2 linked regions of the Mytilus edulis genome follow. The protein of the gene in region 1 purifies or fractionates together with the protein of each later gene. This does not show direct contact. Links are inferred from orthologs where the notes say so. Each region holds a gene or a part of one and is shown on either strand. Other genes may lie near its edges.

Region 1 (7,365 bases):
ACTGATAGTTGATAACAAGATAACCTATAATAGTTCTCCTGATCGTACAGCTGGTATCTTAGAATTTCTAATTTAGACATTGTTATCGTATTAGTATGAACGACTTGTGAAAGTATAAACAAATTCAACTATATTCACTACTGCAGAAAATGCAATTTATATATCATTAATCGTGAGTAAAACTTTCAGTGAAAGTAAGACTATTTGTATAAATACTCGTGTAAGACTTGTGTAAGAAAATATTACTTTTCGAACTAGTTAATTGTTAAAATTACTTCTATAAATCTATTCCATTAATTATGATGTATTTCTTAATTGATTTAATTATTATAATTGTTTATTCCCTTCAGATTAAATAATAAGTACCAGCCTGTCTAATTAATATTGATTAAAGCATTGTAATACTAATTAGTTCAAGTTAGTGATAGTAATTTTTATTGAATATGAATATTTATTTTATTTCAGAAGCAAACATAATGCTATAGCATTAAAAAAATTTGAACAAATAATAATGACAGACACAATAATGACAGTAGACATGCAGAGAACATCACAATAAGGTCATAACAAGCACAGAACTACAACTGCTATGATGCCTTGCAATAATAATTTGTAATCTTAACTTACATGCTGCATTAAGAAATTACACATATTTTAATTCTTTGAGCTAGCCTAACATGTAAAAGAAATACAACGTAGCTTTTAATTCTTGTGATTCATATTTAGTATATTTACTCATTGTACCTATGTGTTGTAAAGCCGATTTAGTAAATAAATAGTTTACCATGAACCAGTATATTTATGGTAAAAACTATAGTTACCCTCAATGCTCTAAATGCATGGCATACTAAAACAAAATGGTACTCAGTTTCAATACAATTATTATGACAGCATATAAGATCATATAAAGTTGTGAAAAATTTTCTCATTTAAGGAAGGAGTTAATCTACAACTGTTTTATAAAAAAAACATTACTAATTCCACAAATATTGATTCTCAGTTTATGTGGTTGTTAAGTAATGAAGACACTGATGTATGTAAAAGTATAGCTGAGTACATAAACATGTGTTTTTTACTTAGAATATAAGTGTAAAATTTTTGTTTGCTGCTTATATTACACTAGAGTTACTCCCCTTGGAACACATATACCTTGATACTTGTGTAGTATTAGTTTTAGATGTTATTCTTTGTAAGTAAGTAAGTAAGTAATTTTTATTGGTTTTAAAATCCAAAATTACAGGATTGATACCAAGACAATACAAATTTGTTATACACAAACATACAAACATCTATATATCATACCAAATTCACAAACATTATATGAGGAGGTGGTACCACAAAGTTATTTAGTGCTTAATAAAGCATTTCTAGAAATGTACATGTCGCTTATAAATTTAACAATAATTCTAATTATATCAGTCTCAGCACACGTATACAAAAATTTAAATCTTTCTTCATTAGTCATACTTCTCCAGGTCACAGTGGCACCCATAACAACTATTTTTTGTCAATAACTTGGTTTATATCAGGTTAATTAGTGTAAATGTGTATTCATTCAAATGTACTTTAATCATTCTAATCATTTTCTGTGCTTTATTTTGTAATTCATTTGATTGTATAGCTCAAATTTTGGGCACCATGATTGGTTAATAAAATTATTTATCTATTTGAAAAAGAGGGAACTATTTCACTAATTTTGGAAAACAGTTGGTCTCTAATTATATTTAGTTTTGTACATTTTAAAGTGAAATGAAATTCATCTTCTACTTCTATGAGGCACAAAGGACAAATTCTTTCTTCTTTCTTCTTTTTTGTATCTATGCTATTAATGGTTATGTTCATAATTGAGCTTTCTTTAATAAAATATTTCGTATTTCGTATAAATATACAAAGTTCTATTACAATATTGTCAAAACGAGCCGTATGATCTTATATAATCAGTTTTAATGTTCCAATACGTAGTTTAGTGAGTAAATTGCTATTCAAAATTTTAGTTATCTCCTTAACAAAAATTATTTTTCAATTTTCTATATTTAACACAGTTTTCACAATCGTTCGAAATGCGACATTTTATATATCTAAATGTTGCGTTAATTTTCTCTAGGTCAATTCATACACAGGGAGGCTATAAATATCATATACAATATTAGGTTTATCATATATAATATATGCAACAAAAATTTTATAATTCTATGTTTCCTTAAAAATGAACATATTTTCAAGTAGATTACCAAGTTCACCACAAAATAAGGTGATAAGTAAATTTTTAGCAAGCTTTAACATAAAACGACAGAAACGATTATGAACGACTTCTAGGTCTTTGACTCGATGAAATCCCCAAATTTGAGACGCATATTTAAGTATAGAGGCCACCATAATGTTAAACAAACAAAAATGCTTGACTTCGGTCAATATAAACCCGCATAGAGAGTGTTGAATAAGGCAGAAAGTGCCTTTGTTCCTTGCTGATAAATCCTATTCTGTGAGTGCAAAAACTTTCAATTGAAATATAGCAATACGCCTAAATATGCATATGAATTTACAATTCAGTCTTGTTCATGGTTGTCAGAGAAAAAATGGTTAATTACAGGTTGCCAACCATTTCTGAAAACGACTATTTTTTGTCTTGTTAGAAATATTAGTTATTTTCCCCCATTTACATTAAAACAGTATTATTGTCCATTGGAATACTTTGAATAACGTCATTCACGAAAAAATTAAACAACAGATCAATGTGATAACGGTCACCTTGTTTCACTACCAAGAAATTGTCAAACCACCTCTGAAAATGCCCTCAGCCCCTCTAAACGAACATTCGGGCTTATAATATTCTTTAAAGTTGTACCTTCGAATTCTCCGGATAACTAAGTAATCGTTCAGTTAATATCGATGTAGACAATTTTGATAAAACACGTACTATAAGATGATCATCGGTCCGGAGATAATTATTCAGGTCTGTTAAGTCACAATTTTTTAACCGCTAAGCCTATTAATTTACAAAACCGTCCGACCACTTACCAGGATACAAGCCATACCAAAACATTAGGTTGAAGAGAGTTTAAAAAACAACAACTTGTATTATGTGAGGGGATGACCTTTATCGGGACTCCGGGATCGTGTGTTTTTAAGCTCAGAATTTCGGAATTGATCCTTTCGGGATCCGGGAATTCTTTTTTCGAATTTCGGGATTTCATGTTTTTAAGCCCGGGATTTCGGGATCAGGACCCCTCCGACCCCCTCCTTATATGTCTCTGGTACATATATCCATGTGAGACAAAAAAAATCCACAAGAGCTCTGCTCGAGGGATTTGAGCTCTTGTACTTTGGTATTATATTAGTTGAGGGTTGATACGTTGATACTTTTATTACAGGGCCGTAACTACATTGAGGCAAATGCCTCATGTAGGAAATTTCAAAACCAAACGCTTGTCTCCATATCAAATTGTGTTCACCGTGAGTGCCTTGCAAGAACGCGTCAAGTTCTGTTCTCCTTCAGACGTAGCCCTTGATTTTTCGGGATCAATGTTTCTTATCATTATTTGTCTTTTGTTCATTAATTGCCCTTCTGTATTCTGTTAGTTTTGCATTTATTTTGTAATTTAGTGATTTTCATGAGTTTAAAAAAAAACAGCTGCCACAGACTTAACTATGTGAATTACATTTTTGCTTTATCATGCATATTGGTATTTTGATGTTGTCCCTAGAAACTTCTTTGAGACCAACATATTGTCAAAAAATTACTAAAACAGAACTTGAATTTTCAGATTAAGAAAGGATCTGGGGAACACCCAGTCTGAGAAAGCATGATTCTTGGGCCTTCAGTAGTTCCAAAACCCCGCTTCAAATTTTTTTTTGCCTCACTCCGCTCGGCGAGACAGGTTTGCCAATACTTTTAAAAGACCTTAGTTTCAACCATACTTTAAATACTGTGTATGTATGCAGTTGGAAATAAAGAACCCAACGGTTCGTTTCTGCAGAGGAGGATGCCGGATTAATTCTGATAAATGGTACATGTATAATGACTTGACTTGAATAAAACAAATGTTTAAAAATTGTATGTTTTCAAATATCATAAATATAGTTGTGAAAATAAATAATCAGTTCCTTGCTTTAATCATGTTAATGTAAATGAAAAATCTTGCACAATAGTGCAGAAAATAGATAATCTGTCCAGTCTTAGTTTACAAACTAAAGAACCGATCCAAAACAAATCCTCCTGCCCACCCCCAACCCCCTCCCCAGGAATATCAAATGGTACGTCGCTTTATAAAACCCCAGCGAAATGCAGTGTTACAAGAGACTCGTATGTAACACCTAATACTGATCGATGGTTATTATGGTCCGAGGTTAAGTGTCGTAAATCGGAATCCAACCCGGCTTGATTTAGTTTTTATGATAAATAACAACCGGAAGTGCATTTCGAGGAAAGAAACTGGAAAAATGACAAATCAAATGAGACAGACACCTCTTACTTGTAGTGGCCATACAAGACCAGTCGTCTTCTTGGATTTTAGCGACATCACTCCATTTGGTTACTTTCTTATCAGTGCATGTAAAGGTATATATCATTAAGATTTATTGTAAAACATTGTGAAATATGTTATACGTATAATACGTTCGTACCAACAGGCACTTGTTTCTATCCATGGGAATACCCACTATCAACGTACATTTACGTACCACATGCACTTGTTTCTATCCATGGAAAGACCCACTATAAACGTACATTTAGTGGTTCTTCCAATGGATAGAAACAAGTGCCCGTACATGGCGTAGTCGTACATAACAGGATGTCAAGAAAGTCACTAAAAAGTTCCCTGGGGTTTTGTGGTCTAGTGGTAAAGACCTATTGCTAAAATTCTGAATTTCCTGGGTTCAATTCTGACTCTAAAGGGCTAGTAGGGGTGCCTAAAATATTAGAAGGATGATGATTTGTATTGGTATTGGGTCTGTTCACTGACTCTACACGTGTTTTCCCCCAGGTCCCATCCCTTATTGATTTGTGTCCGCCTTTACTGGTCAGCACACAGGTTCCTGTATAATTTTGACATCATAAATATCATCCGCGAGCAACAATAGGAACCTTTTTGGTGAGTGAGCACTGCGCAAGCGCAACACATTGTGTTAAGTGGCTGATATTTTGCAACATCTAAACGAAGAAAACCTGATTATCTGTTTATCGTTCTATTAATACTGGTCTTTTCCCACTTCTTCGTGTTCCTAAGACATTATTATGCTTGACAAAAGCAAGCTTGATAACATCTCCTCTTGCATTGTGAGGTCGCTGATAACTTCTCTCACATTGTGATGTCGCTGATAATGCCTAGTCTCGTTTTGAAGCCTTGATACAAGAATTACGAAGCGACAGAGCACGGTGATATAGGCGTTGGGAACATGGATCTGGAAATTTTTTCACCTAATTTCGGTCATTTTCATATAACTTAAAAGTTGGTGCCCCTTTTCAAAAAAAAAGATTGTCAAAATCTCATTACTGTATGAGTATGCTCATACTCATAGCATCAACAAACTTGTTTCACTGTCGCATCGCATTTACTTCATGATTTATTCTACCATTTTTCTAAAATCGATCAAGAGCAATTAAGGGAAGGCAACAGTTTAAAAATAAAATGATTTTAATGACTCAACACGATAATTTTCTCAGTAATCGCTTACATTTCTTTCTATTTTGAAGGTGAAAGTCGATCAAACCTGATGTAATTCGACAATACTAAAATGAACAATTCCGGACTAATTTCTGGGATTAGTTTTGTTTATCAAATTTACAGGAAATCATCAGATTTTTAATATTTTACCTTTAACAGTAAGAATATTAATGAAAAATTTGAAAATAGTTGCACTTGCTTTATTTAGCATGAAATCATTCTAAATTTACGATTCAGTGTCTAATCTGTTGAAGAGAATTTCAAGCATGCATATTACAAAGTAAACAAAGCATGTGTTTTAGTAGTGAAAAAACACTTTTTTCTACGTAAATTAATCAAGTTTTAATTTAATTTTAAATCATAATTGACAATTGTCTTAGCTGAAAAGTAATTAAATAATGAAGACAGTTGGTATGGAACTTTAATTTCTTTATAATATTAGTTGGGGGCTTGTGATTAATAGCCAGGTGTGAATTAAAAACACAGGTAAAGAGATTAGCAATCATTAGCCAATAGCTCTCTTAGGCATTAATATACATTGAAGTTATTAGAAGGGCCCCCAGGATTATAACACTTTACTGGAGTGGCAGAATATAATGTAATTACATAAAATCGATGACAAAACAAAAATATGTTCAATATGGTGATTTTGAAACTCGATCTCAATGAAATGACCGAAATTATTTCTGTTGAAAATAAAATTTGACCTAAATCCCAATTACACGTTTAGGACAAAATACATTCAGTTTCAGGACCTTTGGTAGGGAAGGACAATAATATTTAATATCTTTACAAGTTTGAAAGTAAACATGGTAAATACATGAATATTAATTGCAACTTGATAATATCTTAAGAAATTTTGTATCGTAATTCCCAATTCATTCCGTAGAACTTTTACAATCATGAAAAGTTATCATATTGATACATCTGGTCTTCCTGTTTCAATTCAGAATCGGAAGATAAGTGTTGCAAAGTCATTAAAAATCATTTGCCCTCCAAATCTTTTCTTCAGCGTTTTACAAAACAAGAGCGAAATTTCTGGTAGTTTATGATGCAAATCGTCGATACCATTTCTGACTTTAACAGTGGACATCTATATTGAAAAAATAAAATAAGCAGTATATCAGCCTGTTACTATTCCTTACATGAAAATAAAGGAATGAAATGTTTTCTATAACACCACGCCATAGACACGGGATTTTGACATGGTGAAAGTTCCTCCATCGTTCAATTTTCATCCATGGAGATCCCTGCTAACATACCTTTTATGTCTACACAGAGAACAATAGCTATTGAATTTATTCATTGGGACAATAGAACTGACAAAAGTTTAAAAAGATCGAACAATAGGATATGAATCTATGGAAAAGTTTCATTTGAATTTGTTGGCAATAACTGAAATAAAGAAATCCCTTATCTTCTAGGCCTTCTTTGCAACTTCATAATGATGTAATTATTTAGTAATACATGTAGTTTATTTTCTGTTCTACATTTTGTAGATGGGAAACCAATGTTACGCCAAGGGGACACTGGTGACTGGATTGGTACTTTCGAGGGCCACAAAGGTGCTGTTTGGGGAGCCACTTTAAACAAAGAGGCCACAAAGGCAGCAACAGGAGCTGCTGACTTTTCTGCGTAAGTTTTCAGCTATTTAGTCAGTTTGAACCAATTTAAAACATATAAGTCCATTTCATTATTTGTT
Region 2 (7,496 bases), on another chromosome or scaffold:
AGTATTTATTTATATTATAAAGGATCAGGCTTACAAACAATTTCAACCCACCAGTATATACATCAATACAGCTATTATAAAAGTATTGAATTCAAGTGTGACGCTATTAAGAAAGCATTTGAAATAGTTTAAATACAACTAAAGACTAGTTTAAATGTATAAATCAGCATATTTCAACAGTAAAAACGTTATATAAAACTGAATACAATGAAATCAAATGAAATAAATCAACAACTGAAATTGCCATTATATAAGCCGCAGTGACCAAATTGCTGCACATCACATGCTTATACTGACAAGATGGTGATAAATATATCAAGTTTCATGTTCCTCCATCAAGCATTATTAAACTTTGTTAGAGAGTAACTTTGCGAATCTATCATAGAAATTACCATTGTATTGTATTTAGTTTTATATTATATTCAGTTTTAATGTCAATTGTCATCAAATGTATCATGTATTTCAATAAAAAAAATGATATAAATTTACTTATTTAGTCGACATGCTACTAAATTTCTTCATTTGTATGGCCTTAACCTTATTAGTTTCTGATTGACCTTATATCATGTGTTTATATACTGGCTTCAGAAAAGGTCATGAAGGTACTGGAACTTGACTTTCAAAAATAAATCATGTATTAAATGATCACAGATAAGAAAATTTCACTGCAACACCCAAAATAATCTAACTTGCAGTAGAATTTGTTAAAAAAAAAAACTATCAGATTTTCAAGGACCATGGTAGATAGATAGTTTGCTAATACATATCAACCCCTGCACTAATAATGCACTAGGAGTTATTATTTATCATGTTTTATACAAATATACTGGCTTCAGGAAAAGTTCAGACAAATGAAATATATGATGGAACTGTACATTTTAACCAAAATTATCTCTAAGACATGTAAGATAACAAACAAAAAAAATTCACTGCAACACCCAAAATAATCTCTCATTTATTAGAGTTTTGTTTTTAAATGCCCAATTTTTTAGGACTTTGGTAGATATTTTGATATTATCAACCCCTACACTACGAACTACATGTATTATTATAACAGTATTGATTAATAGGTTCTCCCTGTTGTATGTGGGTTAATTAGTTTCTTCATTAGTGATAAATAACCACAATACACAGTCGACTTTAGTTCAGAGCCATAACTGCAGCACCTGTATGTACTGTATGTAATTGATGCACATTATATACATGTACAAATATTTTGTGATAATTATAAGCATATTCATGAAATATATGTAGTAATAATTCTATGTAATGATTCTGAACTACCTTACAGTAAAGTGTATAGATGTAGAAATAAATAAATAATATAACTATGATAACAGATTTAAAAGTGTTAAAGTGATGATCAAATTATATTGCTAATAGATTTTTGTTTTGTCGGCTCATAAATGAAAGTGGAATGTAAAAGTTTCTCAAAACTACACCAATAAAAAATCATAGGCAGTTTCATGGTCCTCTAATTTAAAGACAAAGCAGCAACTACAATGTATCTATGGTTACTCTGCAAGCGGTTCAAACATTTTGGCAATTCTGTTTTCTTCAAATATTACCCTTTTCATATATATATTCCTCCATTTTTTCTTCTGTTTGTGATTTTTTATTAATTGTCTAATAAAAGTATAATCATCTTACCTTTGTCAGCATTATGTCCACCAGTTTGAGCTTCAATCATTTCTGTCTGAGTCTCTTTCTTTGTTTCTGTCAGCCATTCCATCATCTTTCTCGACAACTTCCGTGTTTTGGTTCACTTCTAACAACCACTTATAATAGAATGAAAGTTAATTTGGAAATTCTTCATTAGTTAGCACAAATCTTCATTTATAATCACAGAAGTAGAATAAATCCATGACCATCTATAGAATAATCAGAATTGGAAATGTAAAGTTTTTTATCACTGAATTTTGTATCCTAGCCCTCACTATTTTTGAATATCTTCATATAAATAAACACTGATCCTTGTTACATGTATTTGATGTATACCTTTTCGTGTGTATTAACGCTATGATTTCTGGTTTTAGTTGTGTTATAATGGAAAGCTGTCATGAATCCATCTAGTATGAAAGGTGTTCATAATTCCAAAGATAAAAATACAAATTGCAGGTGCTTTAATGATTGGTGCAAAGATGAAAGACTTTTGGAGTTGAGAAATTCAAAATGAATCTTAATAAATATTATAGGATATAATATAATAAAATGCAAGGAAAGTGTTAACTTCAGTCAAAACACAGTTAAATTCCCAGTTACAAACAACTTGATGAGTAAAAAGTTCTAATGTTGTAACAGTTTTTGTCATACATCAGTCTCAATGCTTAAGTTATTCATACTAGAAGGGTTGTTTACCTTGTTTGTGTGGTTTTCTTTCGATCTGTCACTATTCACATTAATAAAACTACTGCCTTCCTCCATTTCCATAATATTTTCTGAACCGCTAGAAGCAATTGAACTTTTCTTGCTATTTGAGTAGTTTGGACAACTTTGTACATGATGGTAGTTCGTTTTATCATCATTCTCTGCCTCTCTATGATAAAAGTAGTTGAAGTTTGAAACAATCACAGGCACGGGTAATGCAATTGTTAGTACACCAGCGATGGCACATAATGAACCTACAAGCTTTCCCCAAACTCCTATCGGTCGCATGTCACCGTAGCCGACGGTTGTCATAGTTACAACCGCCCACCAGAAGGCATCAGGTATACTATGGAAATGCGTACTTTCTGCATCTGCCTCTGCAAAATACACTGCACTAGAAAACAATATAACTCCAATGAAGAGGAAGAAAATGAGCAATCCCAATTCTCGCATACTGGCTCTTAAAGTCTGTCCTAATATTTGTAGTCCCTTTGAATGTCTTGATAATTTAAATATCCTAAACACTCGTACTAATCTTATCACTCTAAGGATAGCAAGAGACATGGCCTGGTTGTTCGATTTACCTTCATCGGCAATTACGGTACCTAGAGTGATAAAATATGGAATGATTGCCACAATATCTATAAGATTCATTACATTTTTAAAGAATCCTAATTTTCCAGGACAGGAAGCATATCTAACTAAAAGCTCAAAAGTGAACCAAATAATGCAGCAGGTTTCTATAATGAAAAAAGGTTCATTAAACTGAGGAATATCATCTTCCTCAATCGATGGTGTTGTGGAATTGCCAGTTTCACTAGTTTTGTTCAAATATCGATACTTTTTGAATTCTGGTAATGTTTCTAAGCAAAAGATCACAATTGACATTAAAATAACAACCACTGAGAATATTGCAATTAGCCTGGCTGAAGTTGAACTTTCTGGATATTCAAACAACAGCCAAACTCGTCTCTGGAATATATTTGTAGGTAATGGTTTTTCTTCTTCCTTGATAAATCCTTCATCCTCCCTATACTTTTGAATAGCATCATCTCCTAGTTCATAAAATTTAATTTCCTCTGAGAAAACATCTAATGGAACATTAACTGGCCTTCTTAAACGCCCACCACTTTGGTAATAATATAACACTGCATCAAAACTTGGTCGGTTCCGATCAAAAAAGTATTCATTTCTTAGTGGATCATAGTATCTATTTCGTTTCTGTGGATTCCCTAGTAATGTCTCTGGGAATTGGTTTAAAGTCCGTAATTGTGTTTCAAATCGTAGACCACTTACATTGATTACCACTCGTTCACTGCACTCATAGTCACTACCTGCCATATCACTGGGCCCCATACCATCGACATCATCGGTTGGCTTTGGATAAGACCTGGAATTGGGAAGAACATGATTTTGACGCTGGTAATTACAATTAGGCCCACCATTACCTTGTTCTAAGCTCATCATAGCCACCTCCATTTTGCATATAAATGTAAGCCCTACTTACAACATTTAGTTTTGTTCATGTCATCTTTTCATGAATAAATATATTCCAGTTATTAAAATCACAAATTAATTTTCCTATTTGTAAGCTGTTTAATCATTTCCATTGTGTGCTATAGAACAGTTGTTAAAGCAATTTTTAATTTCTTGACTCAATGCCAAAGCCTATTTTGTACAGTTCTAAACTAGTCTAAGTTGTCAAAAAGAAAACTGTGTTAAGATTGTGATCACCTTTGCAAATGTTATAATCATAAAATTCACTTTGACTGTAAATCATTGGCACTGATGTCAAAGCATAATTTCTTAAACACACTTTCTTAAAAGTACATGTTCTTTCCAAACTAAGATTATCGTCTGCATAAAACAATCTCAAGTCAATGTCACTTTTTCACTGTCCATTTTGCACTTTTTTCATAGTTTGTTGCATGTAATTAAGCGTTGCTGTTTTATAAACATGATGAGTAGGGTTCAATAAATTAACAAACCATTTCTCATGCAAAAATTTCACCCTGAATCGCTACAATTTACTGTTGATCTTACGTTGACATGAACCCATTGAGTATATGATAGAGAGTTGAGACTTTGATCGATTAACCAATCAGAAACCCGTTTACAAACAACTTTGGTTATCGACTAACAGGTGCTTTATGCAGTGAATATTAAATTACCATTAACAGTTTATTCTTCCTATGGCACAAAGCATATAAAGTCAATCAGCTTTGACATTCTAGAATACTACATATTTCTTCTCTTGATAAGAAAACTTACGTTAAAATATTAATTCACTGCGAGGATAATACTTCACCTTATTCCCTGTGGTACGTCATTTATCGGCACAGTACAAAGCAACGAAGAACAGACGTCTCAATCGAGTTATTTAGGGACGTGGTAAATTGCATGTGTTGGTCAGAGAAGACAAATTGGCGTTTTACATTTACCGCTGTGTATTTGAATGAGGGTCGATAGAGGCTGTTGAACATTTTAAAGACAAGTTACTGAGAGATACTTGAACAAAATGACTGCTTTCTTACCTCCAAACTTGCTGGCTCTTTTTGCTGCCAGGGATCCTGTCCCATACTTACCACCGGCGGACAAATTGGGTTTCGAAAAGAAGAGGTTAAGTTATGGTGGAGTTGCACAGTTTCTTAATGAGTTTGAGGTAAAATCTAAATATAATTAAGTACAATAGATAATGTTTTAAATAGATAAACAAACTTACAATGTTTCCAAAATGGCTGACACTAAAGTTGCCATTGTTTACTAATTCTGCTTTAGAAAGTATAAGATATGTCCAGTTTTGGTTCGTAACCCCAGTCCATCGTTAGCTCTTTGATAATTGTGTGTATTAAGAAGTCAATTCTTGTAGTTTCAATCACGATTTCCCCCAAAAAGCACAGTAATGACAATTGCAGATGAAGGCATTGTTAAGAAAATCATTCTTAAATAATTCCTTTTGATACCAAATGTAAATAAACACACATGTGCATCTTAAAGCCTTTCCATTGAATCTGAATCAATTGGTGGAGCTTAGGCAGTTCATTATGAATAATTCACACATCAATGTGTTAACATAATTTAATCCATGACACACATACAAGCGTCAAAGACTTACAAATCAAGTTACACATATGAAGCCAGATTCTGAAATGCAATTAAGCCATTCATGTCACCAATGGCAACTGAATTTTTCATATAATTCCAAAAATAGATAATTTCCTTAAAGATAATCCAAGTTTACTTTACATTACACAAATTGGAAAAAATCCTTTCAATCAATGAATTGGCCTCCATAACTTAAATCGAGAATAAGCTACACTAGTGTCACAAAATAGATGGAAATTGATTTCTGAAAAGCAGGATGATTTTAGATGTGTAATCCAATACTAGCGTTTACCTGTACTAAAGCTAGGTGTAATAAGCTAAATAGTTACACAGTGTACAGAAATCATAGGAAAGTGGATTCTGCGATAGAAATCCAGCTCTTACTTGTTTAGATACTAGGAGCAAATTGTAAACAATGATCAGTGGATAAAACAGTGTATTGATTGGGAAAGTGTAGAGGGTGATGTACAAACATCAGTTGTTAATTATCTAGATACACAAAACCACCTCTAATATATGACATAAGTAAACAAAGTTATAATGGAAACAGGCACCTATCCATCATTGTCCATTAATATTATATTTTTGGCCAGAGAAAGAAATTAGTACATTCATCTCTAGGTCTCAACTTCATTTATAGGTCTCAATTTCTTCTTTCTTTTTTTTTTTTTATATCTATGTTTTTTTTAATTAATCCTGATTTTTTGTTTACAAAATATCATATTTGAAAATTATGTATTATTTTATTAATTTGAATTGACAAATGATTTGGATATATATGTGGCTACTTATTGATGTTACTGATGCCCTATCTCAAATAACAAGCAAAATGTGACAAATGTTGAATATTGATTATATATTGACAATTAACTTTCTAGAAAGATACAACATATTGTTGAATGAGATTAGACTTGTGTATTACAATTTACATATGGCATTATTTTTTATAAAAAAAAGATTGGACTTGTATATTATATGGTACATGTATTATTTGTTAAAAAAAAAAGGATCGGATTTGTGTATTGTACATGTTAATGTATATGACCATTATGGTATTATCCCTAACAATATACACACATTAAATATTTTGTAGTTGTATTTAGTAAAAATAGAATTGGGGTAACAAAAATTCAGTGCTGCAACCCAACAACAAAAATGAACTAAAATAGCCATATTTAAATGGAGAGATCTGCACACAAGTCAAGTTAAAAAATTTGAAAGACTGTTTTAAATTTTGTGTTTAAAACAGAATTGAGTTACAGCCACGAAATTTTTGAATTTAGTTGTTAAAGCAAAATACAAAGGCCTTGGAATGTTTAGGTTTTAATTATTAAAGAAAAGTACAGAGTAAATTTTTTACTAATCACAGGTAATCTTGGTAGTATGAGAATATGTTCCAATTATGATGCCTTCTCTCCCCCCCCCCCCAAAAAAAAATCAAAAATATATCGAGTGTTTTTAACAAATTGTTATCAGGTTTAATCTGTAAAAATATAACATAAACTATCATACTTAGTTTTACATTATGTAATTGTACATATATTAAACTACATGTATCATATATTGAATTTCCTGTGACACATTTCCTTAGGTATAAAGTTACAATGTTAAGTCTCAGATGTTTATATATACATGTAAATAGACTTACTTGTTATTTTGTATTTTTTCCAGTAAAGGAACTGTTGTCTCATCCTTTGTGTCTGACCATTCATCCTTGTGACATTTATTCACTGGAACATTTTCTAAGTTGTTACTTGCAGGATCGCAGTTAATATATTGTAATGAGTCTTGATATGGTGGAGGATTTGAATCGGGAGAAGATATCGGTGGTGTTGTTATTTGTTCCTGTTGATTGTTTTGGTCTTTGTATTTGTCACTGTTTTTTTGCTGCATCTTGAATATGTTTGGAAGACATGCTGACTTAGTTTCCTCGCCTGTACCCTGACCGCCTTTCGACGAATCTGACACAGAGCATGACCTGCCACTATTTGGTGCCGATTTGCTTCGCCTTATTCTTTTGGCAG

What was found. The genes of interacting proteins can lie anywhere in the genome.
Region 2: the proteins of serine-threonine kinase receptor-associated protein-like (region 1) and U1 small nuclear ribonucleoprotein 70 kDa-like purify together in Homo sapiens (affinity purification with mass spectrometry; 3 studies listed by BioGRID and IntAct, with this or other methods). This does not show direct contact. The link is inferred for Mytilus edulis from reciprocal best matches to the Homo sapiens genes STRAP and SNRNP70.

What each region holds. Positions count from the first base shown.
Region 1 is NC_092353.1:16,536,095-16,543,459, forward strand, and holds the start of serine-threonine kinase receptor-associated protein-like, read left to right. Parts: upstream 1-4,336; 5' UTR 4,337-4,392; coding exon 4,393-4,558; intron 4,559-7,162; coding exon 7,163-7,298; intron 7,299-7,365. UniProt on the Homo sapiens protein: The SMN complex catalyzes the assembly of small nuclear ribonucleoproteins (snRNPs), the building blocks of the spliceosome, and thereby plays an important role in the splicing of cellular pre-mRNAs.
Region 2 is NC_092350.1:51,881,305-51,888,800, forward strand, and holds the start of U1 small nuclear ribonucleoprotein 70 kDa-like, read left to right. Parts: upstream 1-4,478; 5' UTR 4,479-4,885; coding exon 4,886-5,029; intron 5,030-7,120; coding exon of another isoform or gene 7,121-7,496. Other genes in the region: potassium voltage-gated channel subfamily A member 1-like, read right to left, coding at 1,683-1,778, 2,359-3,757, 7,121-7,496. UniProt on the Homo sapiens protein: Component of the spliceosomal U1 snRNP, which is essential for recognition of the pre-mRNA 5' splice-site and the subsequent assembly of the spliceosome. SNRNP70 binds to the loop I region of U1-snRNA.